Stegostoma tigrinum: one gene and its partners. The protein of the gene in region 1 interacts with the protein of each later gene in a pairwise test. Links are inferred from orthologs where the notes say so. Each region holds a gene or a part of one and is shown on either strand. Other genes may lie near its edges. The genes, in order: ccndbp1, mrpl15, thap7 and protein PIMREG-like.

Region 1 (8,181 bases):
GACAGTCAGAAACCTGGTTAACTCAGGAACAGGAATGGTTGTTTAAAGTTGTGGGATTTAGATGCTTTGAAAGAAATAGGGAGGGTGGTAACTGAGTTGGGGGAGTGCCATTGCCAATCAGGGCTAGTATAGCAGCTACTGAAAGGCAGTTTGAGAATGATATATCTACAGAATCAGTTTAGGTTGAGGTCAGGAACAAGAAAGGAGCAGTCACTTTGTTGGGGTTTTTAAACAGATTTCCTAATAGTTGCAGAGAAGAGGAGGAGCACATTGGGAGGCAGAAACTGGAAAGGTGCAGAAGTAACAGGGTTGTAGTCATGGGTGACCACAACTTTCTAAAAATTGATTGGAAACTTCTTAGTTGTAATAGTTAAGATGGAATGGATTTGGTCCAGTGGATTCAAGAAGGATTCCTGACACAGTATGTAGATAGACCAACATGAGGAGAGGCCACTTTGGATTTGTGCTTGGCAATGAACCGGACCAAGTGTTAGACCTGTTGTTAGGAGGGCATTTTGGCAGTAGTGATCATCACTCTGTTTCTTTTACAACAGTCATGGAAAAGGAAGGTACACACAGCAGGGTAAGGTTTATAATTGAGGGAAGGGTAATTACAATTCAGGCTAGAAGGCTAAAGGAGGTGCATGTTTGTAAGGAAGATGCACAAGGAATTTTGAGGAAATTGAAGATAGATAAGTTCCTGGGCCTGATGGGATTCAATGAGAAGTGAGGGAAGAGATCACAGGGCCTTTGGCGATGATCTTTGCATCCTCACTGTCCACGGGTATAGTGCCGGAAGATTGGAGAGTGGCAAACGTCATTTCCTTGTTCAAAAAACAGAATAGGGATAACCCTGGAAATTACAGGCTAGTTAGTGTTATGTCAGTGGTGGGCAAATTATTGGAAAAGGCTCTGACAGAGAGGATTTATGATCACTTGGATAGGCATAGTTTGATTCGTGATAGTCAGCATTGATTTGTGAGGGGTAGATCATGCCTCACAAACCTTATTGAATCCTTTGAAGAGGTGACCAAACACGTGGATGAAGGTAGAGCAGTGGATGTGGTATACATGGATTTAAGTAAGGCATTTGATAAGGTTCCCCATGGTAGGCTCATGCAGAAGGTAAGGAGGCATGGGATAGGGAAAGTGTGGCAGATTGGATTCAGAATTGGCTGACCCTTAGAATACAAAGGGTGTTAGTGGATGGAACATATTCAGCATGGTGCTCAGTTAAGAGTGGTGTACCACAAGGATCTGTTCTGGGTCCTCTTCTATTTGTGAATTTTGTAAATGATTTGGATGTAGGAGTGGAAGAGTGGATTAGTAAGTTCGCAGACAATACAAAGGTGAGTCGCTTTGACAATAGTGTGGATGGCTATTCTAGGTTACAAAGGGACATTGATAGGATGCAGAGGTGGGCTAAGAAGTGGCAGATGGAGTTTAACCCTGAAAAGTGTGAGGTGATACATTTTGGAAGGACAAATTTGAAAGCAGAATACAGGGTTAATGGAAAGATTTTTGGCAGCGTGGAGGAGCAGAGGGATCTTGGGGTTCATGTCCACAGTTCCCTAAAAGCTGCCACCCAGGTGGATAGAGTTGTTCGCAAAGCGTATAGTGTGTTAGCTTTCATTAATAGGGAGTTTGGGTTCAAGAGCTTTGAAGTTATGCTCCAGTTATACAAAACCCTGGTTTGGCCACATTTGGAGTATTGTGTCCGGTTCTGGTCGTCTCATGACAGGAAGGATGCAGAAATGTTGGAAAAGGTGCAGAGGAGATTTACCAGGGTGTTGCCGAGAATGGAGGGAGGGTCTTTTGAGGAAAAGTTGAGAAACCTAGGACTTTTCTCTTTATAATGACGAAGGATGAGAGGTGAATTGATAGAGGTGTACGAAATGATCAGAGGTATTGAGAGAGTGGATAGCCAGAGACTTTTTCCTAGGGGGGAGGTAGCTCATACGAGGGGGCGTAATTTTAAAGTGAGTGGAGGTAGAAATAGGGGAGACGTCAGAGGTAGGTTCTTTAGTCAGACAGTGGTAGGGGAATGGAATACATTGCCAGAGAGGGTAGTGGAGTCGGCCTCATTAGGGGCATTTACGTGGCATTTGGATGATAGTGTAAAGTAGGGGTGGAGGTTAGATAGACATAAGGCTTAGGGTAAAAGTTCGGCACAACATCTTTGTCCGAAGGGCCTGTACTGTTCTACGTTCTATGTTCAACATGGCTTTATGCAAGGCAGATCATTTCTTACTACCTTGATTGAATTTTTTGAGAAGGTGACGGAGGTGATCGGTGAGGGTAGAGCAGTGGATGTTGTTTACATGGATTTTAGTAAGGCTTTTGACCAGGTCCCTCATAGTAGGCACATCCAGAAGATTAAGACGCATGGAATCCACAGTGACTTGACAATGTGGGTTCAGGCTTGGCTTGCCATAGAAGACAGAGGGTAGTGGTGGAAGGCTGGTTTCTAGTCTGGAGGTCCATGACTAATGGTGTTTTGCAGGGGTCCGTGTTGGCAACTCTACACTTTTTAATACATATAAATGACTTACATGATAATATAGTTGGGTGGGTTATTATGTTTGCAGATGATACAAAGATTGGTGGAGTTGTGGATAGTGTAGAAGGTTGTCAAAGGATATAGCAGGATATCGCTCAATTGCAATCATGGGCAGATAAATGGCAGATGGAGTTTAATCTGGGTAAATATGAAGTGCTATGATTTGGGAGATCAAATGTTAACGAAACGTGTACAATTAATGGCAGAACTCTGAATGCCATTGATGTATAGAAGGAGATTGGGGTTCAAATCCATAGCTCCCTGAAAGTAGCCATACAAGTAGATAGGGGGTAAAGAACACGTGTGGCATGCTTGCCTTTATTGGTTGGAGAACTGAGTACAAGAGTCAGGATGTCATGCTGCAACTTATTAAGAATTTAGTTCGGCCACATTTAGAGTATTATGTTTAATTCTGGATGTGAGTTTGCTTGCTGAGCTGGAAGGTTAGTTTTCAGACGTTTCGTCACCATTCTAGGTAACATCATCAGTGAGCCTCCGACAAAGCGCTGGTGTTATGTCCCACTTTCTATTTATCTGTTTAGGTTTCCTTGGGTTGGTGATGTCGTTTCCTGTTCTTTTTCTCAGAGGATGGTAGATTGATTTGGAGCCAATGTGTTTGTGGATGGAGTTCCGGTTGGAATGCCATGCTCCTAGGAATTCTCGTGCGTGTCTCTGTTTGGCTTGTCCTAGGATGGATGTGTTGTCCCAATCAAAATGGTGTCCTTCCTCATCTGTATGTAAGGATACAAGTGATAGTGAGTCATATCGTTTTGTGGCTAGCTGATGTTCATGTATCCTGGTGGCTAGCTTTCTGCCTGTTTGTCACAATGTAGTGTTTGTCACAGTTCTTGAAAAGTATTTTGTAAATGATGTTTGTTTTGCTTGTTGTCTGTATAGGGTCTTTTAAGTTCATTAGCTGCTGTTTTAGTGTGTTGGTGGGTTGGTGGGCTACCCTGATGCCAAGAGGTCCGAGTAGTCTGGCAGTCATTTCGGAAATGTCTTTGATGTAGGGGAGAGCGGTTATGGTTTCTGGGCCCATTTTGTCTGTTTGTTCGGGTTTGTTGCTGAGAAATCGGCAGACTGTGTTCATTGGGTACCCATTCTTTTTGAATATGCTGTATAGGTGATTTTCTTCTGCTCTTCGTAGTTCCTCTGTGCTGCAGTGTGTGGTGGCTCGTTGGAATAATGTTCTAATGCAGCTTCGTTTGTGGGTGTCGGGATGGTTACTCCTGTAGTTCAGTATTTGGTCTGTATGTGTTGTTTTCCCGTAGACGCTGGTTCGAAGTTTCCCATTGACTGTTGGCTCTACTAGAAATAAATAGGGAGAGAGGGGGAAGCAGACCGAAGATGGATAGAGGAGAAGATAGGTGGAGAGGAGAGTATGGGTGGGGAGGTAGGGAGGGGATAGGTCAGTCCAGGGAGGAGGGATAGGTTAAGGAGGCGGGATGAGGTTGGTAGGTAGGAAATGCAGGAGTGGCTTGAGGTGGGAGGAGGGGATAGGTGAGAGGAAGAACAGGTCAGGGAGGCAGGGACGAGCTGGGCTGGTTATGGGATGCAGTGGGGGGAGGGGATGAGCTGGGTTGGTTTTGGGATGCGGTGGGGGGAGGGGAGATTTTGAAGCTTGTGAAATCCACATTGATACCATTGGGCTGCAGGGTTCCCAAGCAGAATATGAGTTGCTGTTCTTTACTAACGTGCTGCCTGAATTAAAAATTTCAAATTTTCACCATCTGCTTTTCAACGAAGGGCTTGACTACTCCCTTCACCACCGCATTTACCGTGAACCCGGCCTCGTCTACTGGCCCCGTCAATCTCCATGCATCTGAGATAACAAAGTGTGGAGCTGGATGAACACAGCAGGCCAAGCAGCATCTCAGGAGCACAAAAGCTGACGTTTCGGGCCTAGACCCTTCATCAGAGACGCTTTTGTGCTCCTAAGATGCTGCTTGGCCTGCTGTGTTCATCCAGCTCCACACTTTGTTATCTTGGATTCTCCAGCATCTGCAGTTCCCATTACCTGTGCATCCAGTCAGGCCCCGCCCTACCTCTGGTCCCGCCCATTCATCCGTAACGACCCAGCCTCCGCCCACCAGTCCTGCCTGCTACAGCGGGCCCCGCCCCCGAGCTTGCGTCAAGATGGAGGAGCTGCTTTCGGCTGCGTGTGAGACCATGGACTCGGAGGCGAACGATGATCTGCGGTTGCCGCTGCGGAACCTTGCGAACGGCCTGAGGGAGGTGGTGTCGCAGCTGCGAGGTGAGTTCGGCTGATTCCAGGGAGCAGGCCTCAGGATCTTCCAACAGCAGAGATCCCGGGGTTGGGGGAGAGGACTGCTGACACCAGACAGGGCCTCTACCTGAAGGACCCCACTTTGTCTGTGGGTGTACGGACATGTACTGGCATCTACCGCAACACCCGAGTGACAGTGAAAGGAGCGATAATGGGGTAACAGCCGGCCCTAGGAGCTCAGAGCCAGTGGAAATAGCGGCAGCAGTCTAGTGTTTGCGTGTAATTAGTGATAATGGGAACTGCAGATGCTGGAGGATCCGAGATAACAAAGTGTGGGGCTGGATGAACACAATAGGCACTAAGCAGCATCTCAGGAGCACAAAAGCTGACGTTTCGGGCCTAGTCTACCTGATCCAATCTTACAGGCTGGGATCCAATAGAGGGGCTCTAAGTTGTTTATATTCCTAATCGAGCCTCAAATGGACAAGTTCATCTATTTACTTCCTCCATATTGTTTCAGCAGACTTCTGACTAGCGTCCTATCTCCTTTCTCTGTCCCCTTCCCCGCCTTTTGAGTTAATATAAAACTCAGTTAGCTGTATTCTCATTTAAGTCCAAATACAGAAACAAAAATTCTGAAGTTTTTTAAAAAATGCAGAAAATGCTCAATGGGTCAGACATCAGCCGTGGCGAGAGATTCGGAATTAATATTTCAAGCCTGGAACCGTCCTGATGAAAAGTCTGAAATGTTAACTATTTCTTTACTCACCATTGTTGCTAACCCACTGTGTTCTTCAGCATTTCTGTTAATTTTACTTGCCTTCCTCCCTGTGCTCGTCATTTAGCATTGGCCTCTGGTATGTTACAGCTTTGCAAGTTTGAATTGCTTTTCTGTTATGTATGACTAAATTGAACACCCACTATTTTACTTGACCTTCCAAACAAGCCCTCCAAGAGATCTGTATAGTCAATTCCATTTGCCTGCGTGTCCCTCCTGTCAAACTGCATAATTTAATGTAGTTGTGGATGTTCTCTTCACTCCTCCCCGCCCCCAATAGTGAAGTTTAAGGGACCTTTAAATGTGTGTACAGCCATGAATGTAGTTAAACCTTGCACAGTCAAATCTTGTGGGTCAGTGAAAATAAAAATAAAGTCACTATTTTGCATCTTCTCAGTCTTTCATGCCTCTGCTCCTAACTCGACCAACTTTCCTGAATGCCCTTCTGCTCTCAACTCATAATTTGGAATCTTGTATTCTGTTTGGTTCTGTTTCACAACCCCTTTCCCATCATTGAAATTTTTTTTCTGTCTTGTCGCAGCCTTCGGTATCAATTTCAAGTCTTTGTTTTTATCTTTGAAGACTTCTAGCCATGTCCCACTCTGCCTCAGAAAGCTTCTTTAGCATCTTGGTCAGCCTCACTGTCAGTTTAGAAGGAGAAAGAAAATTACAAGTGCCTGATAATTTACAGGGTGCTATTTTAAAAGCAAAATCACGAATAGGATGTGGTCATTGCTTGCTGGGCCAGCATTTTTTGCCTGTATCTAGCTGTCCTTGAGAAAATGGTGGTGTTCTGCCACCTTGAATTGCGGTGATAAATTTGTGTAAGTACCTTCACAATGCCATTGCACCATAAGAAAAAGGAATGGGAGTGGACTGTTTAGTTCCTCAAGCCTGTTCTGTTATCCAGAAGATTCAGCCACTCCTCATATTCACTTTCCTGCCCTTTCCCTTGACCCTTGATTTGTCTACTGATCAAGAATTTCTCTATCTTGGCCTTGAATATGTGCAAGGTCTCTGTGGAAAGGAATTAAGGAGGGCTTTCTAAGATTTTGATCCAGTGACGTTCAAGGAGCGGCAATAATAAGTGACTTGGGAGGAAACTTGTGGATTAGACATGAATGTATGAAATAACTAATCAACAGTCATAAAACTGATAGACTGAAGTTCTGTTTGTTGAAAGCATTAGTTATCACAATTCTACCCTAAAGAAGAATAACTCACCAATAACTGATGACTTTTCAAAGATTTTTGGGTTATCAGTGGACTCAACACAGCCACTAACAAACCATTGTAATCATTTTTCTGAGGAGTAACACTTGGAAGAATGGTTCTCTTGTAATGCTGAAATTTGTCAGTGGTAGACCTAGCAAGATGATTGTTATACCTAATGGTATCAGAGATAATGGGAACTGCAGATGCTGGAGAACTCCAAGATAGTAAAATGTGAGGCTGGATGAACACAGCAGGCCAAGCAGCATCTCAGGAGCACAAAAGCTGACGTTTCGGGCCTAGACCCTTCATCAGAGAGGGGGATGGGGAGAGGGAACTGGAATAAATAGGGAGAGAGGGGGAGGTGGACCGAAGATGGAGAGTAAAGAAGATAGGTGGAGAGAGTATAGGTGGGGAGGTAGGGAGGGGATAGGTCAGTCCAGGGAAGACGGACAGGTCAAGGAGGTGGGATGAGGTAAGTAGGTAGCTGGGGGTGCGGCTTGGGGTGGGAGGAAGGGATGGGTGAGAGGAAGAACCGGTTAGGGAGGCAGAGACAGGTTGGACTGGTTTTGGGATGCAGTGGGTGGGGGGAAGAGCTGGGCTGGTTGTGTGGTGCAGTGGGGGGAGGGGATGAACTGGGCTGGTTTAGGGATGCAGTAGGGGAAGGGGAGATTTTGAAACTGGTGAAGTCCACATTGATACCATATGGCTGCAGGGTTCCCAGGCAGAATGAGTTGCTGTTCCTGCAACCTTCGGGTGGCATCATTGTGGCACTGCAGGAGGCCCATGATGGACATGTCATCTAGAGAATGGGAGGGGGAGTGGAAATGGTTTGCGACTGGGAGGTGCAGTTGTTTGTTGCGAACTGAGCGGAGGTGTTCTGCAAAGCGGTCCCCAAGCCTCCGCTTGGTTTCCCCAATGTAGAGGAAGCCTCACCGGGTACAGTGGATGCAGTATACCACATTGGCAGATGTGCAGGTGAACCTCTGCTTAATGTGGAATGTCATCTTGGGGCCTGGGATAGGGGTGAGGGAGGAGGTGTGGGGACAAGTGTAGCATTTCCTGCGGTTGCAGGGGAAGGTGCCGGGTGTGGTGGGGTTGGAGGGCAGTGTGGAGCGAACAGGGGAGTCACGGAGAGAGTGATCTCTCCGGAAAGCAGACAGGGGTGGGGATGGAAAAATGTCTTGGGTGGTGGAGTCGGATTGTAAATGGTGGAATTGTCGGAGGATGATGCATTGTATCCGGAGGTTGGTAGGGTGCTGTGTGAGAACGAGGGGGATCCTCTTTGGGCGGTTGTGGCGGGGGCGGGGTGTGAGGGATGTGTTGCGGGAAATACGGGAGACGCGGTCAAGGGCATTCTCGATCACTGAGGGGGGAAAGTTGCGGTCCTTAAAGAACTTGGAC
Region 2 (7,392 bases), on another chromosome or scaffold:
AACCTCTACCCGTCATGGCAGATTGTGGTTTGTGTTTTGGCTTAATTATCAGAGGGGTTCGGCTATTCTCCGTAACAAGAAATACAACACATTTGGCAGTGTCTGTGGAGAGAAACAATTAACGCCGAGTCCAATATTTGAGTATTAATGCAATTCTTCCCTCTGCACAGATGCTATCAAAACTACTAAGGTTATCAGGTTTGTTTTCTCTTCCCTGAATATCTCCTTGTTTATTTGCGATCACAACGTGGAGAAGCAGAAGTAGAATAATCAGACCACTGAATCTGCTCTATGATTTAATGAAATTTTAGCAGATCTGATCATCCTCAACTCCATTTTTCTATGCTTTCCGTAGAACACTCGATTCCTTTACTGATTAAAAATCTACCATGGCCTGAATATACTTCTCAGCCTTGACAGCGCTCAGTGGTAAAGAATTCCATACATTCACTACCCTCAGAAAAACTCCTCCTCATCTATCTTCAAAGGTGGTGGACCTTTAATTCTGAAATTACATCCTCTGGTTCTAGATTTTCCTGCATGAGGAAACAACTTCTCCACATCTATTACGTCTATCCCCTTAATAACCTTATATGTTTCAATAAAGTCTCCTCTCTTTATGAACAAATCCAACTAGTGCAAGCCCAACCTACTGAACCTGTCTTCATAAGAAAAATCCCAGGTACCCAGGATTTACATAGTGAACCTTCGTTAAGCTGCCTCTAATCTTTCCCCCGATAAGGGAACAAAAACTGTTCACATTATTCTGGCTGTGCTCAGCCTAGCTTCCTTTAATAGCTTCAAAAAGGCATCCATATTTTTAGACTTAATTTACTTTGAAATGAAGGCTAACAAAATCCATTTGCCTATTTACTTGCTGATCTCGGAAGCTAGATTTTTATGACGCACTAATATTTTCAAGCTGCTGCTTTCTGTTGTCATTCTCCATTTAAGTATTCAGTTCTTGTATTCTTCCTGCTAAAGTGCATAGCCTCATTTTTCCACATTATATTTCATCTGTAAATTTTTTGCTCAATCACTTAACTTGTCTATATCCCTCTTTAGACTAATTTTGTCATCCTCACTACTTGATTTTCCCATTTCATTTTGTATTGTCTGCAAACTTGGAAAAATTTCTGTCATCCAAATCATCCAGCTTTGTGTCTTCAGCAAATTTGGGAATATTACTTTTAATTGTCTCATCTAAATCAATATTATTAATAGCAGGGATCCATACATTGATCCCCACTGTGCGGTAAAAAGCCTCATTTCCCATCTGCTAACCAGCATTCTATCCATCTTTAACTTTACACACTAATCTCTTATGTGGGAAACTATCAAAAGTCTTCTGAAAGTCTATATACATCACATTCAATTGATGACAGCAAAGCAGCGGATGTTTTCCTTACGGATTTCAGTAAAGTGTTCGACAGGTTCCACAGAGTAGTCTTGTTAGCAAGATTGGATCACATGGAGTCCATTGGAGCTAGCCAACTGAATATAACATTGGTTTCAAGGTGGAGGCAGAGGCTGTCTTCTATCTAGAGGCCTGTGACCAGCAGTCTGCCACAGGGATCAGTGCTGGGTCTACTATTTTTCATCATTTATATAAATGATTTGGATGTTAATAATGGATGTATGGTTAGTAAGTTTGCAAATGACACCAAAATTGCTGGTGTAGTGGACAGAGAAGAAAGTTATCTCAGAGTACAATCAGACATTGATCTGATGAGGAAATGTAGTTTAATTTAGATAAACGTGAGGGGTTGCATTTTGCTAAGGCAAACCAGAGCAAGACTTGGACAGTTAGTGCTGAGTCCCTGGGGAGTGTTGCCGTACAAAGAGACCTAGGGTTCAGGTGCATAACTCCTTGAATGCGAAGTAGACAGGGTAGTGAAGAAGGCAGTTGGCATACTTGCCTTCATTGGTCAATGCACTGAATACAGGAGCTGGAATGTTATGTTGGGGACATTGGTGAGTCCAATTTTAGAATACTGCAGTCCATTTTGGTCTCCCAGTGTAAGAAAGATGTTGTTAAACTTGAAAGAGTTCAGAAAAGAATTACAGGGATGTTGCCAGGGTTGGAAGATTTGAGATAAGAGGAGAGGTTGAATAGGTTGGGGCCAGTTTTCCCCCTGGATTGTCAGAGGCTGAAGGGCGATCTTCTAGAGGTTTATAAAATCATGACAAACATGGATAGGGTGAATAGTTAATATCTCCTCCCCTCTCTTTCCCCCCCCACCCCCCAAGAGTTAACGAGGCTGCTGCTTCACAGCAGGAGAGACAAATAGTCCTTTTTCAGCAGGGAAAAGGACGCCGAAATTGAGATAGTGGGTGAATTTCCGCTCCCACTGTCACAAGCCCTGAGTCGCTTCCTTTCAAAGTCTCATTTAGAAATTGATGACCGCGAGGGAGTGCAACTTAACCGCGTAATTCTGCTCACAAAATAATAATTGTAGCACGGACAGTGGTAGAGGGACTGCTCGGCCCAGAGTGTCGGAATGATTCTGTAAGGGCAGCTCAGATGGTTTTCTACCCATTCCCCATAACTTTGCAGATGTTCTCGTCACATGGTTGTCCAACTCGCTTAGACACCAAACAAACAAAACAGCGGAAATCAAAAACAAAATCCGGAATTGTTGGAAAAACTCAGGTCTGGCAACATCTGTGGGAGAAAGCAGAGTTAATGTTTCGGCTCCAGTACCCCTCCTGCAGAACTGATTGGAAAAGGGTGATATATATGCTTATAGAGCACTTACCCTCTTCTTCGCTCCCAGGTTTGGTCTCAGGTTGGCGAGGGAGACCCGCGGCAGCCGCCGGAGAAGCTCGAGCCCAGTCGATCCAAATCCTCGTGTCGCCATTTTTCCCAACCGCCAAGACAGACTGCTGTGTCGCAAAATTCAGAGCAACGCGTCTTTACGACAAGTGCGGAAGCGGCGAGTACCTAAAACCTCTAGATGACCCATTTATTCTCTAATTTCTAGTTGCTGAATTTTGTTTAAAAAAACACTTGTATGATTCTTAAACTCCTTTCTGTGTAGTTCATTGCTTAAAAATGCAAATCACGGAAGTAAAAAATACCGGAAGCCTGACCAACAGCCAAATCCAGTTTTATTATCATTCTGATTGACGCTAATACTTGTACATGTCTTTCAGGGATACATCGGGGAGTGAAAAGGAAAACAGATTATTCAGTCGACAAGCGCGCCACTGCAACTGCGCAGTCAATCAGCCGCCCATTGTTTCCTCTGTTAACATCGGGCTCAGCCAATCATATGGCGTAACACGGGTTTCCGTTGTAAGGACGTCAAATTCGTCCGAGGAGGAGGCGGCGGCGGCGGGATATCTGGTGGTGTAAGCGCGGGCGGGAGGAGGAGTGTGGAGAACGGCGGTTGGGGCTGTTTGTAGTGGTGGTGACCTGTGGGTTAGCTGGACGCCTTCGTTTTGATTGTGTATGTGCGGTAACAACATGTCAGCGCCAATTCCTGCTATTGTCCCTGCTGCAAAAAAAGCCACAGCCGCGGTGAGTCTCACCTGGAAAAGCGATGGGCAAAGGGCGGGTGCAGTTTTCCAGTGTGTGACTTGCAGCATAACAACAAGAACTGTGCGTTGGCCCGGTACAGTAGAGAAAGCGTGTCCACTGATTGCAAGGGAAGGGACATATTATTGATGGGTCTTGGTAGTTGCTATCGATGATCAATTGTGCTCTACTATTCTGATCTGTTCGTAGTTAAACGATGCAATTTTTGTGGGGAAAAGCATTCATAATGTACAGTTGCAGGAAACAACTATCAGGGCAATTTAAAAGACTATTGGGGGAAAAATGCATGAAAATGGGGTGGAAACGTTAAGAGCTTTCTCAACGGTATTAGACAGCAAAGGACTATTTAATATTAAAGAATTTGAAGCGTTCCCGGGGATCGTAAATTAATCTTTTGTAACGGCCATCAATTTTTGGAAGTGGTGTTCTACCGACGACTAGCAGAAAGTTGGAGACAAATTAAGTGTGGATGTCATCTTTTTTTTGTAATCTTGAAAGAAATTAAGCAATCTGATTAGATGATATTCAGCTGAGCCTTGGAAAAGAGAGAGGGCATATGTTTTTAAGGGCTCCTTGCTTACATCTCTAAGGTCAGGAAAATATGGATAACAAAGACTAGGAACAAGAAGTAAGAAAAGCTTGAAATAATTCAGCACCTTTCTTGATATCCCAAAGTCTTAGCAGCTTTTTCAATTCTTTTCAATTGTCCCTGTAGGAAAGAGACCAAAAAAAACCCACGAGGTGGACAGGCAGGAGTTTGGAAGAACACAGCAGGCCAGGCAGCATATGGAGGAAATGGCCACTGACTGGGAGGCTAGCTGGCTGTTATAGGCCAGTCGAAGATGCTCGTGAAGCTGTCATCTGGTTTATGTTTGGTCTCACCAACATAGAGAACCATTTCAGGAGAGGAGTGGGGAGTAGAAAATATTCTGGGTGGTGGGTCTATTTGGAGTTGGAAATGTTTGAGGATGATATGTTGGATGCAGAGCTGGTAGGGTATATGTCTTGTTATGTTTGAAGGGTGAGGGTGGTTTAGAGTTTTGAAGCGTGGTGGAGAGATGTCTGGATGACAGAAGAAAAGGACATTGGGGGACAAAAAGGACATCCGGGATGAGAGGGAATGGAATGCCTCCTCCTCAGAGCAGATGCGATGGGTAATTTGGGTAAAAATTGGATTAAGGGATGAACTGCACCAGTAAGTACATTCGTACTGTTTCCCAATTCTTCCACTGTAAATTGACTGTGTCGGCAGAGAAGAGAGACAGCTCTCCAGCGTGTCTTATCTATTGCCTACTCAGCTTTTTAACACCCCCCCCCCCCCCCCGAAACTGATGAGATAGGGTCCTCTTTGTCTTCACTTTCCACCCCACCAGCTCTGCATCCGATGTATCATCCTCAAACATTTCCACCAACTCCAATTAGACCCTGCCACCCAGAACATCTTCCACTCCCCGGCCCTCTCTGCCTTCTACAAGGACTATTCCAGTTCATGTCATACTTCCCACCAAGGACCTTTCCCTGTAACTGTTAAAATTGCAATACCTGCTCACACACCAACTTCCACACCCCCATTCAGGGCCAGATGCTGCCGAGTCCTTCCAAGTGAGGCAGAGCTTCACCTTCATCCACTGCACCTGAAGTGGTCTTCTCTATATAGGTGAGACCAAATGTAAACTAGGTGACCATTTCACGAGCAGCTTCATCTGGCCCGTAACAGGCAGCTTTATCTCCCAGTCGCTGCCCATTGCACCTCCCTGCAATGCCTCCAGCATGTCTGCCCTTGGCCTCCTGCAGTGTTGCCGTGATTCATTTTGGGAATAACAGCAAAATGAACTATGTTTTAAATGATAAAAAATTGCAACACGCTGCTGTACAGAGGGACTTGGGTGTGCTTGTGCATAAATTGCTAAAAGTAGGATTGCAGGTGCAGCAGGTAATTGAAAAGGCAAATGGAATTTTGTGTGCCATTGCCAGAGGGATGGAGTTTAAAATCAGGGAGTCTGTGCAGCAGCTGTATAGTGTCCTAGTGAGACCACACCTGGAATATTGTGTGCAGTTTTAGTCTCCTTAGTTGAGAAGGGATATACTAGCACTGGAGGGGATGCAGAGGAGGTTCACTCGATTGATTCCAGAATTGAGGGCTGGATTATGAGGAGAGACTGAGTAGACTGGGATTATACTCATGGGAATCAGAAGAATAAGGGGAGATCTTATAGAAACATAAGATTATGAAGGAAATCGATAAAAGTGGAGGCAGGGAGGTTGTTTCTGCTAGCAGGTGAAACTAGGACTTGGGACATCGCCTCAAAATAAAGAGAAGCAGATTAGGACTGAGGACAGGAGGAACTTCTTCACCCAAAGGGTTGTGGATCTGTGGAATTTCCTGCCCAGTGAAGCAGTTGAAGTTACCTCGCTGTATGTCTTTAAGGCAAGACTAGATAAATTTTTGAACAGCAAAGGAATTAAGTGTTATGGTGTGCGGGCAGGTAAGTGGAGCTGAGTCTCAAAGATGAGCCATGACCTTAGTGAATGGCGGGGCAGGCTTGAGGAGCTGGATGGCCTACTCCAGCTCCTAGTTCTTATGATTCAGAACACAAATTTGGCGAGCAACACCTTTTATCTTCCACCTGGGCACCCTACCGCCCAGAGGACTCAACGTTTGAGTTCTCTAAGTTCAAAATAACCTCCCCAACCCTGGCTTCCGTTCCAGCCCTGCTTCCTCCCTTCCCTTCCAGCTACCAAGCAGAGGATGAATCTGATCGACCAACCAGGTTGTCCCTATTGCCAGTGTCCAGATATCGCCGCTGTTCCTTCTCTCCCTCCGCCCCCCCTCGCTCCCCTCCACCCCTACTTCCCCTTCCCCCTCCCTCTCCCCCCTCACTTCCCCTTCCCCCTCCCTCTCCCCCCCCTCAAGGTGGCAGGACCAGTTGAGAGCCATGAATAAAACAATAGTATCCTAGCCTTAATAGCAGCGTAGAGTATACAAGAAAAAAGATTTGAATTTGAAATAATTAACTCCAGTGTTCCTAAGTGAAGTGAAAAACTTTGTTTACGAACAGTACAGGCAGATCATAGTAAGCAACACCATGCAGCTCGTAGGGTGATTAAAAAACTTAGAGGCACAATTGTTTTGTCGCACTGGGCGTGAGCATATAAAATACTTGTCAGTTCTTAGCTGTGTTGAGCTTTCGTTCCACATAGTAGGAAGGACATGAATGCATTGAAGAAACTGCACAAAAAATTACAAGACTCTACGAATCTCAAACAGAGATTTGCCACATTACTTCCAGGTGAAGACGATGCCAATATCATTGATTTTTTTTTAAGGAGAATTTCTCCCGAAACAACAATTCCAAAAAAGAGCATTCTAATATTGCACAGTGAAGTGTGAACGGTTAAAGGTGGTTTGAAAAAAGGACTGAAAGTTTCAAGAATCCGACGAGGAGGATTGCAAGTAATACTATTGAAACTTAGTGAGTGGTAGGTCATCGGTCATAATGCTGCTATGGTGTATTAGTATGAATAGTTCAGATGGGGTGTTTGGTGTCAATCCAGCAAGCTATTAAGTCATCAGTGATTTTGTTTTCCAAGTGTTGGAACTGTATTCGTCCAGGCGCCTGAAGCGTGTTCTGTTAGACGACTTCTTCATGTCTTGGTGATGGTGGAAGGGCTTTGGGGAAGCAAGATATAATTCATTACCTACAGAATAGGACCAGTTTCAGACTTGCTGTTCTAGCAACTGTATGTATATAGTTGATTCATTAAGTTACTGATTATTGGCTGGAGAATATTCCCAAGAATTCGTGTATTGCTGTGGTGGGGCTACTATGAATGACCACAACTATCTTCCT
Region 3 (7,816 bases), on another chromosome or scaffold:
TGAGCTAGTGTCAGCATTCCTGAGATCAGGAGCAGGTAAACAGGCGCTGCCATCAGTGAAGCTGTTAGATAGATAGGAAGGAAAATAGCTGAAGGTTAATAAAAGGACAGGGAGTGACCAATTGTGGATATTTTAATGTCAGTTTCCTCCCCCTTTTCTCAAGAACTCTGGAGTGCTGTTCATTCTTCACTGCCTAACCAAAATGACCATTATCTGATTGTTGGCATACAAGCAGTAGTTACTGAATACTTGACTGAGATGGCATCACAATGAGCTTGACTGTGCCCTCATTTAACATCTCATAAATAGGTAACTACTTTAAGATTAAGAGTCTTGGCTCACTTGTCCCTTCCCTAATCCAGTGGTTGGAGACAGGCAGCACTCACCTACCCCTGACAGGAAACCGCAGTCTCTACATCAACTATCTGGTCTCTAACACCCGAGCATGCACTAGCCATTTGCACCGAGTCAATGAACAGAGTAATAGAAGAAATACAAAAAGCATTTTTAGTTAAGATATTGATTTCGAGTGAACAGCGTAAATGGTTTCCAAGCAGTATACATCCTGTGAATCACACGGCTGAAGCAGTCACCAGAAGTTTCTCACCATTCATTGGTGCGTACAGACAATGATTTTGCATTGTGTCCCCCACTCAGCGCCACCTTTGCTTGAGGACATGGCTGAAATAATGTGGGGACAGCGTCATCTCGCAGGCGGTGATAACGACTGGGGAAAGAAAACAAGGAAAGCAGTGAATTTCCGCCACACACACACACATCTCCCCCCCCCCCCCCCCCCCACCCCACCGGAAATAAAGCTGGCCTCAATTGTAATGTGTTGGACCTGCGTGATGATGGACCACAGTGATCAGAGGAACCTGGGTCTGATGGTACAAGGCAACAGATTTGAAAGGCCAGGGTGATCCACCAAACTATGTTCTGATGTTTTGGGAGAACGGACTGGGATCTGTTGGACTGGTGATCAGGTGATCTGGGAACTGATAAACAGTGGTGATTAGGTGAGCCAAGATCTGATGAGCTAAGGGATCTGATGGACCTTGGCAATCTAAGAGACTGTAAAGATCATGTGGACAAGGATCTGAGTAATACAGCACAGAAACAGTCCCTTCTGTCCAGCCAGCCAAACATAATCCCAAACTAACTAGTTCCACCCGTATGCACTTGGTCCACATCTCTCCAAACACTTCTTATTCATGAACTTGTCTAAATGTCTTTTAAAAGGTGTACCACTTTCTCTGGAAGTGCATTTCACACATGAACCACTCTATGTGGAAAAATTGCCACTCTTTTTTTAAATCTGTCTCCTCTCAACTTAAAAATATGCTCGCTAATCTTGAAGTTCCCCCACCCTAGGGTAAAAAATCCTACCATCCACTTTATCAATGCCTGTCATTATTTTATAAACGTCTATAAGGTCGTCCCTCAACCTCCTATTCTCCAGTGAAAGAATTTCCAGTCTATCCAGCCTCTCCTTAAAACTCAAACCCTCCATTCCCAGCAAGATCCTGGTAACTATCTTCTGAACCCTCTCCAACTTAATAATTTCCTTTATGTAACAGAGAGACCAAAATTGCATTACGTAACTCCAGAAAAGGAGTCAGCATAACGTCCCAATTCCTATACTCAAAGGTGTGAACAATGAAGGCAAGCATGCTTAAACACCTTAACCATCCTATCTATATGTGACATAAACGTCAAAGCCTCGGTCTCTCTGTTCTAGAGCCCTACCCAAAGCCCGACTTCTAACCGTATAAGTCTTGCCTTTGTTCATTTTACCAAAATGCAATACCTCACATTTATCCAAATTACACTCCATCTACCACTCTTCAGCCCACAGGTGTGATACAATTGATCTGATGTTCCAGGGATTGGGCAAACCAGAGTCTATCAGGTCTTGGTGATCTGATAGACATGGATCTGGTAATCCATAGTAATCTGTGGAGCAGTGTGTAATAGAATCAGAGAATCCCTACACTGTGGAAGCAGGCCATTCAGCCCATCAAGTCTACACCACAGCTCTGAACGGCATTCCACAATACCCCAACCCTATACCTATAACCATGCATTTCCCATGGCCAACCTACCTATAGCCTGCACATCTTTCAGGGCAATTTATCATGGCCAATCCATCAAACCTGCACATCTTTGATCTGTGGAGAGAAACTGGAGGATCCCTAGCACTGTGCAGTAGCAGTGCTAAACATTGAACCACCATGCCACTCAAATTATTAATGGGCTGTAGTGATTTGTTGAAGCAGGGCATATTGGACCAACATTTGACAGATGCTACAAATTACCTCAGCCCCACAAGCTCAAAACAGTGTTTCTCAAAATGTTTTGAACAGAAATAGATGAACTGCGACGGTGGATCCCACGGAACTGTCCCATCTGGATTCTTGCGGCAACAATTCAGCAACCAGATCTCACGCTGATGTCTTCCCTTCTTGGGCAACCTAAGTAAAATGAAACTCATGAGAAGTGAACGTGACCACAGTAAAATATGACTGGGTGGGGGATTAAACAGACCTCACTGAGGGAATCAACCTGAGGATAGGGAGAGGTCTCACTGACCTGTGAAACGTGACTCCATTAATTCTCGAATCCTTAGTGTCCCGTGATGTGCAGCCCTCAGCCGAGCAGTGTCGGGGCATTGCTCTGACCCCTGCATGACATAAGAAGAGTTCACCAGAGTCAGACCACATTGAACCCCATAGCCAGTAACCGCTCTTTGCTTGCGCCCAAACACACCATCTATTCATTCACACACCCAAATGGAAGCATGCACCATCTCTCCCCGCAGGCAAACCCTACGAATCCTGCTACTCAGTCTCTCCTCTCCCGTCCCCCCACCCCATTCCCTTTACAATTACCCTTCACCTCCCATCTCTTATTCCCCCCCCACCCCAAGCTGTCTCTTCTTTCTCACCCTGGTACAAATATCTCTCTCCCTCCTCATTACCTTCTACTCTATCATTCCCCTTCTTTCCTTTCTCTTCAATCATCCACTCCATCTCTGCCAGCCCAACCCCCTCCTTTCTGTCTTTTAACTCTCTTCTCCCCTTCCCAACCACCCCACACCTTTGCCTTACTCCATCACCTCACCTATTCCATCTTGCCTGTTCCCACAAGCTTCATCCCTTCCTTCCCCACAGTCCCCTACCCAAATCCAACCCCTCTCAATCCCACCATTTCACAATTCACCCTTCCAATTTCTCTAATGCCCCATCATCCCCCCCTCCAAATTCACCCTATACCCTATTCCCCTCTTCCTAACGCCACTCCTCATTACCCAACACTGACACCCACCGCAATTCCCTTCCCACCACCCAGGGTCTCCTTAATTACCCTCCCTCTGACTTTCTCTTCCTCCAGTCATCCCTATTACTTCCTTCCCTACTCCCACTTCTATATCCCACTCACCACCACCCACTAATCCCCACACATCACCTTTCTCCCCATCCCAATCCTTCCCATCCATCGTATCCAAGTCACCCTCCACATACCCATCACTCTCTTGACCATAATCCCCTCCCATTTCCACCCCATATCATTCGTATAATGGCCCCCATTCCCACACCATCCATTTTCCACCTACACCCCTCCCATCATCCCCTATCCCTCCATCCGTACCCTGCCCTGCCCCATGACTATAATCTCCTGTCGTTCCCTCATCACCCGACTCCTCGGAACCACCCCCAAGCCTATATCCCAATTATCTCTACTCCCACCCCTCCCCCAACAACCCTCTTCCCTCACTCTGTCCTCGTTGACCTCACCAAAATGGCCGACCTAAGAGCCTCAAACCTACGTCACGGCACTCAGACGCAGGGCGGAATTGGGAGCAGGTAGCGTTCTTGCCTTCACGACAATGGAAAGCTCAGGTCCAGAAATATTCGGGAAGACTCTGAGGAAATTCAGGTGGCTTCAATCAAGACAGCTACGTTTTTCCAGATCGCGATGTCGTTGCGCATGCGGAACAGGCGTTGTCGGTGGTATCCGCCTTGCGCCTTGACGTCGCCGCCGCGCTGCGCCATGACGCAAGGCCCGGCTGGAGACTGACTGGAGGTTAGTGTCGCCTGAGGGAGCGCGGCCCTGGGACCCTACCGGCCCAACAGAATGCAACCTAAAGAGTGCGGGTGCCAAGGCAGCCCAGGCCCTGACGATAATTCCGCCACCCCCTCCCCCCGCAGACTACTCCAGTACATCAAGGAAAGCGGAGCGGGTCAGGGGTCAATGGCCTCGCCTCGGCAGCTCGCTGATTCGATAGTAGCAAGCACGTGACAGCGTTCACGCCCCCCCACCCCCCAAAAAACTCCATCACGACAATACCCCCCCGTCCCACGTGTGTGTGTGTGTGGGGGAGGGGAATATCCCCCCCGTCCCACTGCTGTGTGTGGGGGAGGGGAATATCCCCCCCCCGTCCCACTGCTGTGTGTGGGGGAGGGGAATATCCCCCCCCGTCCCACTGCTGTGTGTGGGGGAGGGGAATATCCCCCCCGTCCCACTGCTGTGTGTGGGGGAGGGGAATATCCCCCCCCCGTCCCACTGCTGTGTGTGGGGGAGGGGAATATCCCCCCCGTCCCACTGCTGTGTGTGGGGGAGGGGAATATCCCCCCCCCGTCCCACTGCTGTGTGTGGGGGAGGGGAATATCCCCCCCCGTCCCACTGCTGTGTGTGGGGGAGGGGAATATCCCCCCCCGTCCCACTGCTGTGTGTGGGGGAGGGGAATATCCCCCCCCCCGTCCCACTGCTGTGTGTGGGGGAGGGGAATATCCCCCCCCCCGTCCCACTGCTGTGTGTGGGGGAGGGGAATATCCCCCCGTCCCACTGCTGTATGTGGGGGAGGGGAATATCCCCCGTCCCACTGCTGTGTGTGGGGGAGGGGAATATCCCCCCGTCCCACTGCTGTATGTGGGGGAGGGGAATATCTCCCCCCCCCCCGTCCCACTGCTGTGTGTGGGGGAGGGGAATATCCCCCCCCCGTCCCACTGCTGTGTGTGGGGGAGGGGAATATCCCCCCGTCCCACTGCTGTATGTGGGGGAGGGGAATATACCCCCGTCCCACTGCTGTGTGTGGGGGAGGGGAATATCAATCCCCCCGTCCCACTGCTGTGTGTGGGGCAGGGGAATATCAATCCCCCCGTCCCACTGCTGTGTGTGGGGCAGGGGAATATCAATCCCCCCGTCCCACTGCTGTGTGTGGGGGAGGGGAATATCAATCCCCCCGTCCCACTGCTGTGTGTGGGGCAGGGGAATATCAATCCCCCCGTCCCACTGCTGTGTGTGGGGGAGGGGAATATCAATCCCCCCCGTCCCACTGCTGTGTGTGGGGGAGGGGAATATCAATCCCCGCCCCACTGCTGTGTGTGGGGGAGGGGAATATCAATCCCCCCCCCCGCCCCACTGCTGTGTGTGGGGGAGGGGAATATCAATCCCCCCCCGTCCCACTGCTGTGTGAGGGGGACGGGAACGACCACCATTACCCTCCCCTGCACAAAATCCTGTTGTGAGGGGAGGAGACAGCCCCACCTACATATGCCAGAATGACACCACCAGCCGCTTCCCTTTCTCCAACCCCCGTGTTGTTCTCACACTCTCTCTGTCTTCATTTCCCCCATCCTCACTTTTTCCATTGGTTTGCAGGCAGTGCAGAGCAACTGAGCAGGATGTCGGAGCAGCTTCACAGCATCAACCTCCAAAACTTTAGCAAGTCACTGCTGGAGACACTGAATTCCCAGCGCCTGGGTGGCCATTTCTGTGATGTAACAGTGAGGATCCACAACACAGCTCTTCGAGCACACCGCTGCGTTCTGGCTGCAGCTAGCCCTTTTTTCCACGATAAACTTTTGCTGGGTTACAGCGAGATCGAGGTTCCTCCCCTTGTCTCAGCCCAGACTCTACGGCGGCTGGTGGATTTCATGTACAGCGGCTCTCTGATGGTCTCTCACGTGGAGGCTCTACAAATCCTCACAGCAGCAAGTGTCCTTCAGATTAAAACCATCATTGATGAATGTACACGCATTATTTCGCAAAATGCCTCACAAAAGACTCAGGGACTCCAACCATTAGTCAGCCAAAAGATGGACCTTTCTGATGAGAAAGAAGCCATTATTTGCCAGTCAGTCAGTGACCAGATCCACAAATTTTCTATGGGTTTAATTGAAACGGCATTGTCACCTCATGGAACAGAGAAAGACTTTGATTTTGTACGCGGAGGTACAAAGAACGTGGCAACAAGTGACACAGGGTACAAAGCTGAAGAAATTAGCCCTAATCTGAGCAGACAAGTTCCATCTACACGACAAAAGGGAGTTGGAGAACAGGCCATTGCTGACCAGGAGAATCTGTCTCTGATGGACACTGGCCGTAACAGTGAGGTACGTGCTCTATGGTACAACACTGCAGCCAATCAGCGTCCAGAAATGCCATTGTTAGCACAAGGCAGCCACAGTCGCAAGCAGCGCCAGCCAATCCGCCTCCAGATGGCAGATGGAAGTCAAGTGACCATCAAGGAAGAAGATGATGATCTCCTTTACTGTGGGGAGAGCATCTCCAGTGCAAGTGTCTCCGATCAAACTGCTGAGCATATCAACCAAAGTGAGCAAACTGAGGATATCTCTGAGACAAATGCCTTTGATCCCAATCAAAGCACAATGGGGGATCGAAGAGATTCTGCGAGTCATTTGAGCTTGACCGGCAAAGGGGATGAGCTGGAATTTTTCAATGCTAGTGATCTCTTACCTGAGGAACTGAAGTCCTTTTGGCATGGAGAGAAAGAGGAGAAGGAACCATCCTTACCACAAAACCGAAAAGCAGACTGCAAGTCTCAACTTGATGCATCCTACCAACGGCCTTCAACATTCATGCAAGACTTTCTCCCAGCATCAGCTGTGCACAACAGTCCACGAAACCAAGGCTGCTCTGTGCAGTATGATGTTCAGGGAGATAATAATGCAGCCAGTGCTGCCAGTCACCGAAACCTCTTCCAGATGAACGTTCCTCAGTCACCTCACCTTCCAGCTCTGCCGTCCACCTCACAGACATGTATACCCAGCATTTCAGCTCAGCCATCTTGCCAAAACCCGGCTGCGTTTCTAGATGGAGGCCAGACAGTCCCAGCTACCTCTCAGGCCAGTCACAGTTCCAGTGAAACCGAAAAGAAGCCCTATGGATGTGCACAGTGTGGGAAGACATTCAGTTCCAGACAGAATTACGCCAAGCACATGTTTGTCCACACAGGTGGGTTCATCATCATTGTTCATTTTAGTTAAAACCATTCTTTCAATCCCATTCTTTAACCCAGATGCTATTCCTAGGATGACTGGTGGAGAATAAATAGAGATTTAATTTAAGTTTTCTCCATTTCTTCCCTGAAGGTGCTGACTATCACTGGGGCATAGTTCCTAAAGGTTTTGACTTTCACTGCTGTCATTTGCCATAATGAACTCAGTGAGAATAAAATGAGGCTGATCGTGATCATTAAACCTGTTGCTTTATATGGCCGTGGCTTTATGTAATACCAATAGATGAAAAGCAATCATCACATTCAGAATCAGATCCCCTCACTGACAGGAAAGCAAAGCACCCGAGCCCTCTGAGCGCCATCAAGACTTATTTTAAATTCTGTGTGATATGTACTAGGAGCACCTATATGTTACTGCAAATTTTGCTGTGGTGCAGCTATCCTCGTTGGATCAGCCAATGGAAGACCAGGCAGGAATGTCAAGGGTTGGGTGTTAGCTGAGCTGGAAATGGCTAGAATGAGAGTTCCAGGAAGCACAGATCTGGCAATTAT
Region 4 (7,606 bases), on another chromosome or scaffold:
CAAAACAATGATGTGAATTTTAAAATCTTGCAGCTGTTTTACTGTGAGTCAGTGTAGGTCAACAACAGGACTTGATCTTAGTTAAGACAGGGAGCTGTAGAGTTTAGGGTGACCCAAAGATTATAGGGATCTCACAAACAGCAATGAAGTATAAACCATATAACAAAATGTGAGGCTGGATGAACACAGCAGGCCAAGCAGCATCTCAGGAGCACAAAAGCTGACGTTTCGGGCCTAGACCCTTCATCAGAGAGGGGGATGGGGTGAGGGTTCTGAAATAAATAGGGAGAGAGGGGGAGGCGGACCGAAGATGGAGAGTAAAGAAGATAGGTGGAGAGGTAGGGAGGGGATAGGTCAGTCCAGGGAAGACGGACAGGTCAAGGAGGTGGGATGAGGTTAGTAGGTAGCTGGGGGTGCGGCTTGGGGTGGGAGGAAGGGATGGGTGAGAGGAAGAACCGGTTAGGGAGGCAGAGACAGGTTGGACTGGTTTTGGGATGCAGTGGGTGGGGGGGAAGAGCTGGGCTGGTTGTGTGGTGCAGTGGGGGGAGGGGACGAACTGGGCTGGTTTAGGGATGCAGTAGGGGAAGGGGAGATTTTGAAACTGGTGAAGTCCACATTGATACCATATGGCTGCAGGGTTCCCAGGCGGAATATGAGTTGCTGTTCCTGCAACCTTCGGGTGACATCATTGTGGCAGTGCAGGAGGCCCATGATGGACATGTCATCTAGAGAATGGGAGGGGGAGTGGAAATGGTTTGCGACTGGGAGGTGCAGTTGTTTGTTGCGAACTGAGCGGAGGTGTTCTGCAAAGCGGTCCCCAAGCCTCCGCTTGGATTCCCCAATGTAGAGGAAGCCGCACCGGGTACAGTGGATGCAGTATACCACATTGGCAGATGTGCAGGTGAACCTCTGCTTAATGTGGAATGTCATCTTGGGGCTGGGATAGGGGTGAGGGAGGAGGTGTGGGGACAAGTGTAGCATTTCCTGCGGTTGCAGGGGAAGGTGCCGGGTGTGGTGGGGTTGGAGGGCAGTGTGGAGCGAACAAGGGAGTCACGGAGAGAGTGGTCTCTCCGGAAAGCAGACAGGGGAGGGGATGGAAAAATGTCTTGGGTGGTGGGGTCAGATTGTAGATGGTGGAAGTGTCGGAGGATGATGCGTTGTATCCGGAGGTTGGTGGGGTGGTGTGTGAGAACGAGGGGGATCCTCTTAGGGCGGTTGTGGCGGGGGCGGGGTGTGAGGGATGTGTTGCGGGAAATACGGGAGATGCGGTCAAGGGCGTTCTCGATCACTGTGGGGGGCAAGTTGCGGTCCTTAAAGAACTTGGACATCTGGGATGTGCGGGAGTGGAATGTCTTATCGTGGGAGCAGATGCGGCGGAGGTGGAGGAATTGGGAATGGGGATGGAATTTTTGCAGGAGGGTGGGTGGGAGGAGGTGTATTCTAGGTAGCTGTGGGAGTCGGTGGGCTTGAAATGGACATCAGTTACAAGCTGGTTGCCTGAGATGGAGACTGAGAGTTCTAGGAAGGTGAGGGATGTGCTGGAGATGGCCCAGGTGAACTGAAGGTTGGGGTGGAAGGTGTTGGTGAAGTGGATGAACTGTTCGAGCTCCTCTGGGGAGCAAGAGGCGGTGCCGATACAGTCATCAATGTGCCGGAGGAAGAGGTGGGGTTTAGGGCCTGTGTAGGTGCGGAAGAGGGACTGTTCCACGTAACCTACAAAGAGGCAGGCATAGCTGGGGCCCATGCGGGTGCCCATGGCCACCCCCTTAGTCTGTAGGAAGTGGGAGGAGTCAAAAGAGAAGTTGTTGAGTCTGAGGACGAGTTCAGCTAGGCGGATGAGAGTGTCGGTGGAGGGGGACTAGTCGGGCCTGCGGGACAGGAAGAAGCGAAGGGCCTTGAGGCCATCTCCATGCGGAATGCAGGTGTACAGGGACTGGACGTCCATGGTGAATATGAGGTGTTGGGGGCCAGGGAATTGGAAGAATTGGATGCCACCCGAAGGTTGCAGGAACAGCAACTCATATTCCGCCTGGGAACCCTGCAGCCATATGGTATCAATGTGGACTTCACCAGTTTCAAAATCTCCCCTTCCCCTACTGCATCCCTAAACCAGCTCAGTTCGTCCCCTCCCCCCACTGCACCACACAACCAGCCCAGCTCTTCCCCCCCACCCACTGCATCCCAAAACCAGTCCAACCTGTCTCTGCCTCCCTAACCTGTTCTTCCTCTCACCCATCCCTTCCTCGCACCCCCAGCTACCTACTAACTTCATCCCACCTCCTTGACCTGTCCGTCTTCCCTGGACTGACCTATCCCCTCCCTACCTCCCCACCTATACTCTCTCCACCTATCTTCTTTACTCTCCATCTTCGGTCCGCCTCCCCCTCTCTCCCTATTTATTCCAGTTCCCTCTCCCCATCCCCCTCTCTGATGAAGGGTCTAGGCCCAAAACGTCAGCTTTTGTGCTCCTGAGATGCTGCTTGGCCTGCTGTGTTCATCTAGCCTCACATTTTGTTATTTTGGAACTCTCCAGCATCTGCAGTTCCCATTATCTCTGAAGTATAAACCATATCATTTGTTTAAGCGATGTTGGTTTGGAGATAAGCTTTTGATCAGGACATTATGGAGAAGTAAGCAAAAATTAACGTGACACTGTCTGCAATGTAAGGAACGCAGCCAATTGCCACATCAGCCCATGTCAGTGGAACCAGTCATGTATATTTATCGTACAAGTTATATTACAGTCCACCGCGGTCAGGCACACAGTACGTTATCTGGGAAATGTCTGCCAGCTGAATAGTCTGAATAGTCAATGCTGCTGGCTTCCAAATTACTTTTACACTTTTCTACTAAAATAAAACTGGAGTCCATATTTTTCTTAAGCAATGTCAGTTTTTGAAACCTTGACGTTTTAAATGGAATAATGGCACTGCTACACTCCATGGTGTCAAGTGTAAGTAAAAACAAGTTACCAGGGAGACGTTGCCCCATGTGTTCCTCGCAGTCCGACCTATAGTTTGTAAAGCATTAGGTTTCTTGGTGAGCTCCAGACTCTCCCAAGTCGGGGTGTGGTCGATGTTAAAGTCCACCTGCCCAAGAGGCAGCCTCTTCCTCAGGGACATGCGGATAGTGTTGAGGGAGCTGGACGAGGACATCTCCCTGAAAAGATCGGCTGGCGGGCTATCGCCTTCTTCCTGCAGGATCTGATGGTGCTTTCTCCAGCTTGTCATTACGACCTCCGTGGTTGGGATCGAACGCCTGAATGTCTGTCCCTTTCTTGTTTTTGAATTTGGCGCAACTTTGTAGCGGAGTGAAATTCCCGCGATCCGATTGGTGAAACTGACAAGATGACGTACTGAGGCCCGCGCTGATTGGCCGTCGGTTATGTCACTGGGAGGGGATTGCTCGGGCTCCGGCTACTTTGTTCCCAAGCCTTTGTTTCCCAACAGGAAAAAGGATCCGATCAAGTAACAGCAATGTGTCCATTTCTTCCCGGGAGCTGATGGAAATTACCCTTTCATTCTCGTCGTCCCAGCGCCTTCTGGTGAGACCACGAAACATGGGCTGCTGCCACAGTTCTTAATATTAGAAAGTAAAACACTGCTGCACTCATTTAAAACCAGTGAAACAAATCGTACAGAAAGGCAAAACGGTTCCAGTGACAATTTCTGAAGAGGGATCACTGGACTCGAAACGTTAACTCTGTTTTCTAACTTCCCAGATGCTGCCAAACCTGCTGAGTTTCTCCAGAGTTAGTAGGAACTGCCGATGCTGGAGAATCTGAGATAACAAGGTGTAGAGCTGGATCAACGCAGCAGGTCAAGCAGCATCAGAGGAGCAGGAAAGCTGATGTTTCGGGCCTAGACCCTTCTTCAGAAAGACCCGAAACATCAGCTTTCCTGGTCCCGTTATCTGACTTGCTCTGCACCTCCAGCTCCATATTTTATAGACCCAGATTTATCTTCGCAAGTTATTGCAAAACACCGAGCTTTAAACATGAATATTGATACGATTTGAACGCAGGTTGTTAATAACTTGGAAGAAATAGGGAGAATCCTTTCCAAGCGATCGTTTAACTGGTCGTCCCACGCTTCGAACCGAGTGTCTCTAAGATGTTTGTTATCCTTGGGTTGGGGAAGGGGGGATTTGCACATTGTTTTCCGTTACACGCTCTTAATTCTTCACTGAAAACAGGTAAGCAGGGCATTTGTACAGTTAAATCTTCCCTCCACCACGACCGACCTTAGAGTCATAGAAAGGCGACACAAATGGGAACTATTAAATGAAATCTTACAGGGCCCGAGGATGTGTGCTGTGGTAAAAAGCTCGATTCTGTACCATGCGGGAAGAAGCCATTCGGCCCATCTTTGCTGCACCGACTCTCTGAAAAGAATCCAGCCCAGACCCAAGCCCCTACCCTATTCCTGTAGCCCTGCATATACCCTTGCTTTCCACACTTAGCTTGCACATTCCAGGGCAGTTCAGTATGACCAGTCAATCTAACCTGCACATCTTTGGACTGAGGGCGGAAACAGGCACATTCTGCAGAAACAGGGAGTAAATGCAAAATCCACATGGACAGTTACCTGAGGCTGGAATTGAACCTCCCTGGCTCTGTGAGATAAAAGTGCCACCCATATCTGAGAGTATCACTGAAAAGTTAACAATGCCGATATGAAGGTTGGGATTGAATTAGTTGTGTTTTCCAGCAGAGTTCAGGAATTGGAGACAGGGTTATTGCTGGGCAGCTGAGATGCCTATTAGCTGATCGTCTGTCATTCTCTTAAACTGCAAATCTGGCCTTGCAAATATATAGCTTTCTATTGTGCCGCTGCTGTGAGGAATATACACACCTCCAGAATTCCCGACATGAAAGGAAATGGATACTTCATCTCTCTAGCTCACCACTGACTCCGCCAAACCTTCACACCAGTGCTGCTGTCAGAACATCAGAAGCTTACAGGACCTGGGAGGTTGGCAGTGTCCACAACTTGCTACACCACAGCAACACCTCTTTTTGTTATGGCCAGACCCTGGGATTCACTATTCACCAAAACCCACTGGCCCTGTAGAAGTATGCAGAAATTCTGCATTCCCTGGCCCATATAAAACCCTAAACCAAATATTGCCTCAGAGAATGTTACATCGTAGGATATGGTCATTTCTGCAATGAAACTATGCCAACTCTGCTGTAAAACCCTAGACATTAAAATGGATACCTGTTGCTTAGCATTCCCCTGCATACACATTGAATTAAAGTGAGCAGAAGTGGGAGAGAATAATACAAAGCACATGCTGGAGATCTGAAACAAACAAAATCAGAAATTGCTGGAGAAACTCAGCAGATCTGATGAAGTGTTACTGGATATGAAATTTCTTTCCACAGATACTGTCAGAGCTGCTGAGATAGCACAGAAACAATGGGATGATCTGTGTTTGGGGAGAGTGCACAAAGTGAATATGAACAGAAGCCACCCAAGCCCTCCAGCTCCTCCAGAACTTCCAATTCCCCAGTCCCCAACACCTCATTTTTACCATGGACATCCAGTCCCTATACACCTGCATTCCCCTTGCAGATGGCCTAAAGGCCCTCCACTTCTTCCTGTCCGGCAGGCCCGACCAGATCCCCTCCACCGACACTCTAATCCGCCTAGCCAAACTTGTCCTCACCCTCAACAACTTCTCTTTCGATTCCTCCAACTTCCTACAGACAAAGCGGGTGGCCATGAGTACCCACACGGGCCCAAGCTATGCCTGTCTCTTTGTAGGTTACGTGAAACAGTCCCTCTTCTGCACCTACACTGGCCCTAAGCCCCAAGTCTTCCTCTGTTATATCGATGACTGCTTTGGCGCTGCCTCATGCTCCCAAGAGGAGCTTGAACATTTCATCCACTTCACCTACACCTTCCATCCCAACCTCAAGTTCACCTGGGCCATCTCCAACACATCCCTCATCTTCCTGGACCTCTCTGTCTCCATCTCAGGCAACCACCTAGAAACAGATATCCATTTCAAGCCCACCGACTCCCACAGCTACCTAGAATACACCTCCTCCCACCCAACTTCCTGCAAAAATTCCATCTCCTATTCCCAATTCCTTCACCTCCACCGCATCTGCTCCCAGGGTGAGGCATTCCACTCCTGTACATCTCAGATGTCCTCGTTTTTCAAGGACTGAAACATCCCCCCCACAGTGGTTGAGAACACCCTTGACCATGTCTCCCGCATTTCCACAACTCATCCCGCCCACCCGCCCCTGCAATAACCACCAAAATAGAATCCCCCTCGTCCTCACATACCACCAACCTCCGGATACAATGCATCATCCTCTGACACTTCCGCCATCTACAATCCGACCCCACCACCAAAGACATTTTTCCATCCCCACCCTTGTCTGCTTTCCGGAAAGACCACTCTCTCTGTGACTCCCTTGTTCACTCCACACTCCCCTCCAACCCAACCACACCTGGCACTTACCCCTGCAACCACAGGAAGTGCTACACTTGCCCCCACACCTCCTCCCTCACCCACATCGCAGGCCCCAAGATGACTTTCCACATCAAGCACACCTGCCAATGTGGTATACTGCATCCGCTGTACCCGTTGTGGCTTCCTCTACATTGGGGAAGCCAAAGAGAGGCTTGGGGACCGCTTTGCAGAACACCTCCGCTTGGTTTCATGAATGCAGAATTTCATTTTAGTAGATAGATTGGAAATGTTGAGCTTGTTTTACTTGGAGAATGTTGACAGGCGATTTGTTATAGGTATTCAAAATCATGAGTCGTCTGGATCAAATCGATAGTGAGTAAACTGTTTCTGCTGGTGGAAGAGTCAAGAATGAGAGAGAGCAGATTTGAAATAATGAACAAATCAAGCACACGTGACAGGGGGAGAAACGTTGTCAAACTGCGAGTTGTTAGAATATGGAATGCCCTGCCAGAGAATATGGTGGATGCAAGTTCAATTGCAGCATTTGAGAAGGAATTGGGTCATCACCTAAAAAGGAAGAAAGTGCAAGACTATGAGAAGAAAGTGTAGCAGTGGCACTGGATGCATTGCTCATTTGAAGAGCCAGCTCAGACACAGTGGGCTGAATGGCCCCCTGCTGTAATCCGTTTGTGTTTCTGTGATCAATTATTTGTGCAAATCTCTTTTAATAACAACTGTATCAGAAATGATGCTTCTAAAACTGTTTCCATTTGCACAAAACATTTGATAAGCCCGTATACATACAGTATGACAGATTTTCCCAATGTCACCATATTGTTGGTATTTTATTCTCTACTGTTACTGACAAATGGACCAGTTTAAAAATGTTTTCTTTTGTTTCCTATCAAAAACTCCCTATTATTTTGTGCACATCTTCTGACTTCCACGAGACTAAGTTGATTATTCTGGAGTTGGATTTTGTAACTAAAACAACTGCTATGCAGACATACATTAGGAGTGTAAGGCCAAAAGACAAGAACAACTTGGAAACTCAGGTGAGAACGCAAATCTTTGGAATTGTGCAAGGTTCAGTTCAGGGTGCTGAAATAGAGGAGAAAACTTACAAACATGTAGATAAAAGTTTACAGCTGTCTCCAATCAAGTTCACAAAGAAACT

Evidence for each region.
Region 2: the proteins of ccndbp1 (region 1) and mrpl15 interact in binary tests that used the Homo sapiens proteins (3 or more experiments, as listed by UniProt). The two-hybrid records come from large-scale screens. The link is inferred for Stegostoma tigrinum from reciprocal best matches to the Homo sapiens genes CCNDBP1 and MRPL15.
Region 3: the proteins of ccndbp1 (region 1) and thap7 interact in binary tests that used the Homo sapiens proteins (3 or more experiments, as listed by UniProt). The two-hybrid records come from large-scale screens. The link is inferred for Stegostoma tigrinum from reciprocal best matches to the Homo sapiens genes CCNDBP1 and THAP7.
Region 4: the proteins of ccndbp1 (region 1) and protein PIMREG-like interact in binary tests that used the Homo sapiens proteins (3 or more experiments, as listed by UniProt). The two-hybrid records come from large-scale screens. The link is inferred for Stegostoma tigrinum from reciprocal best matches to the Homo sapiens genes CCNDBP1 and PIMREG.

What each region holds. Positions count from the first base shown.
Region 1 is NC_081372.1:47,265,572-47,273,752, forward strand, and holds the start of ccndbp1 (cyclin-D1-binding protein 1 homolog), read left to right. Parts: upstream 1-4,670; 5' UTR 4,671-4,696; coding exon 4,697-4,814; intron 4,815-8,181. UniProt on the Homo sapiens protein: May negatively regulate cell cycle progression. May act at least in part via inhibition of the cyclin-D1/CDK4 complex, thereby preventing phosphorylation of RB1 and blocking E2F-dependent transcription.
Region 2 is NC_081358.1:67,109,854-67,117,245, forward strand, and holds the start of mrpl15 (large ribosomal subunit protein uL15m), read right to left. Parts: upstream 3,264-7,392; 5' UTR 2,862-3,263; coding exon 2,760-2,861; intron 1-2,759. Other genes in the region: lypla1 (acyl-protein thioesterase 1), read left to right, coding at 3,455-3,523.
Region 3 is NC_081391.1:26,351,877-26,359,692, forward strand, and holds the start of thap7 (THAP domain-containing protein 7), read right to left. Parts: upstream 3,118-7,816; 5' UTR 3,033-3,117; coding exon 2,981-3,032; intron 2,684-2,980; coding exon 2,593-2,683; intron 2,475-2,592; coding exon 2,319-2,474; intron 728-2,318; coding exon 608-727; intron 62-607; coding exon 1-61. Other genes in the region: zinc finger and BTB domain-containing protein 20-like, read left to right, coding at 5,688-7,260. UniProt on the Homo sapiens protein: Chromatin-associated, histone tail-binding protein that represses transcription via recruitment of HDAC3 and nuclear hormone receptor corepressors.
Region 4 is NC_081380.1:25,349,406-25,357,011, forward strand, and holds the start of protein PIMREG-like, read right to left. Parts: upstream 3,291-7,606; 5' UTR 3,231-3,290; coding exon 2,973-3,230; intron 1-2,972. UniProt on the Homo sapiens protein: During mitosis, may play a role in the control of metaphase-to-anaphase transition.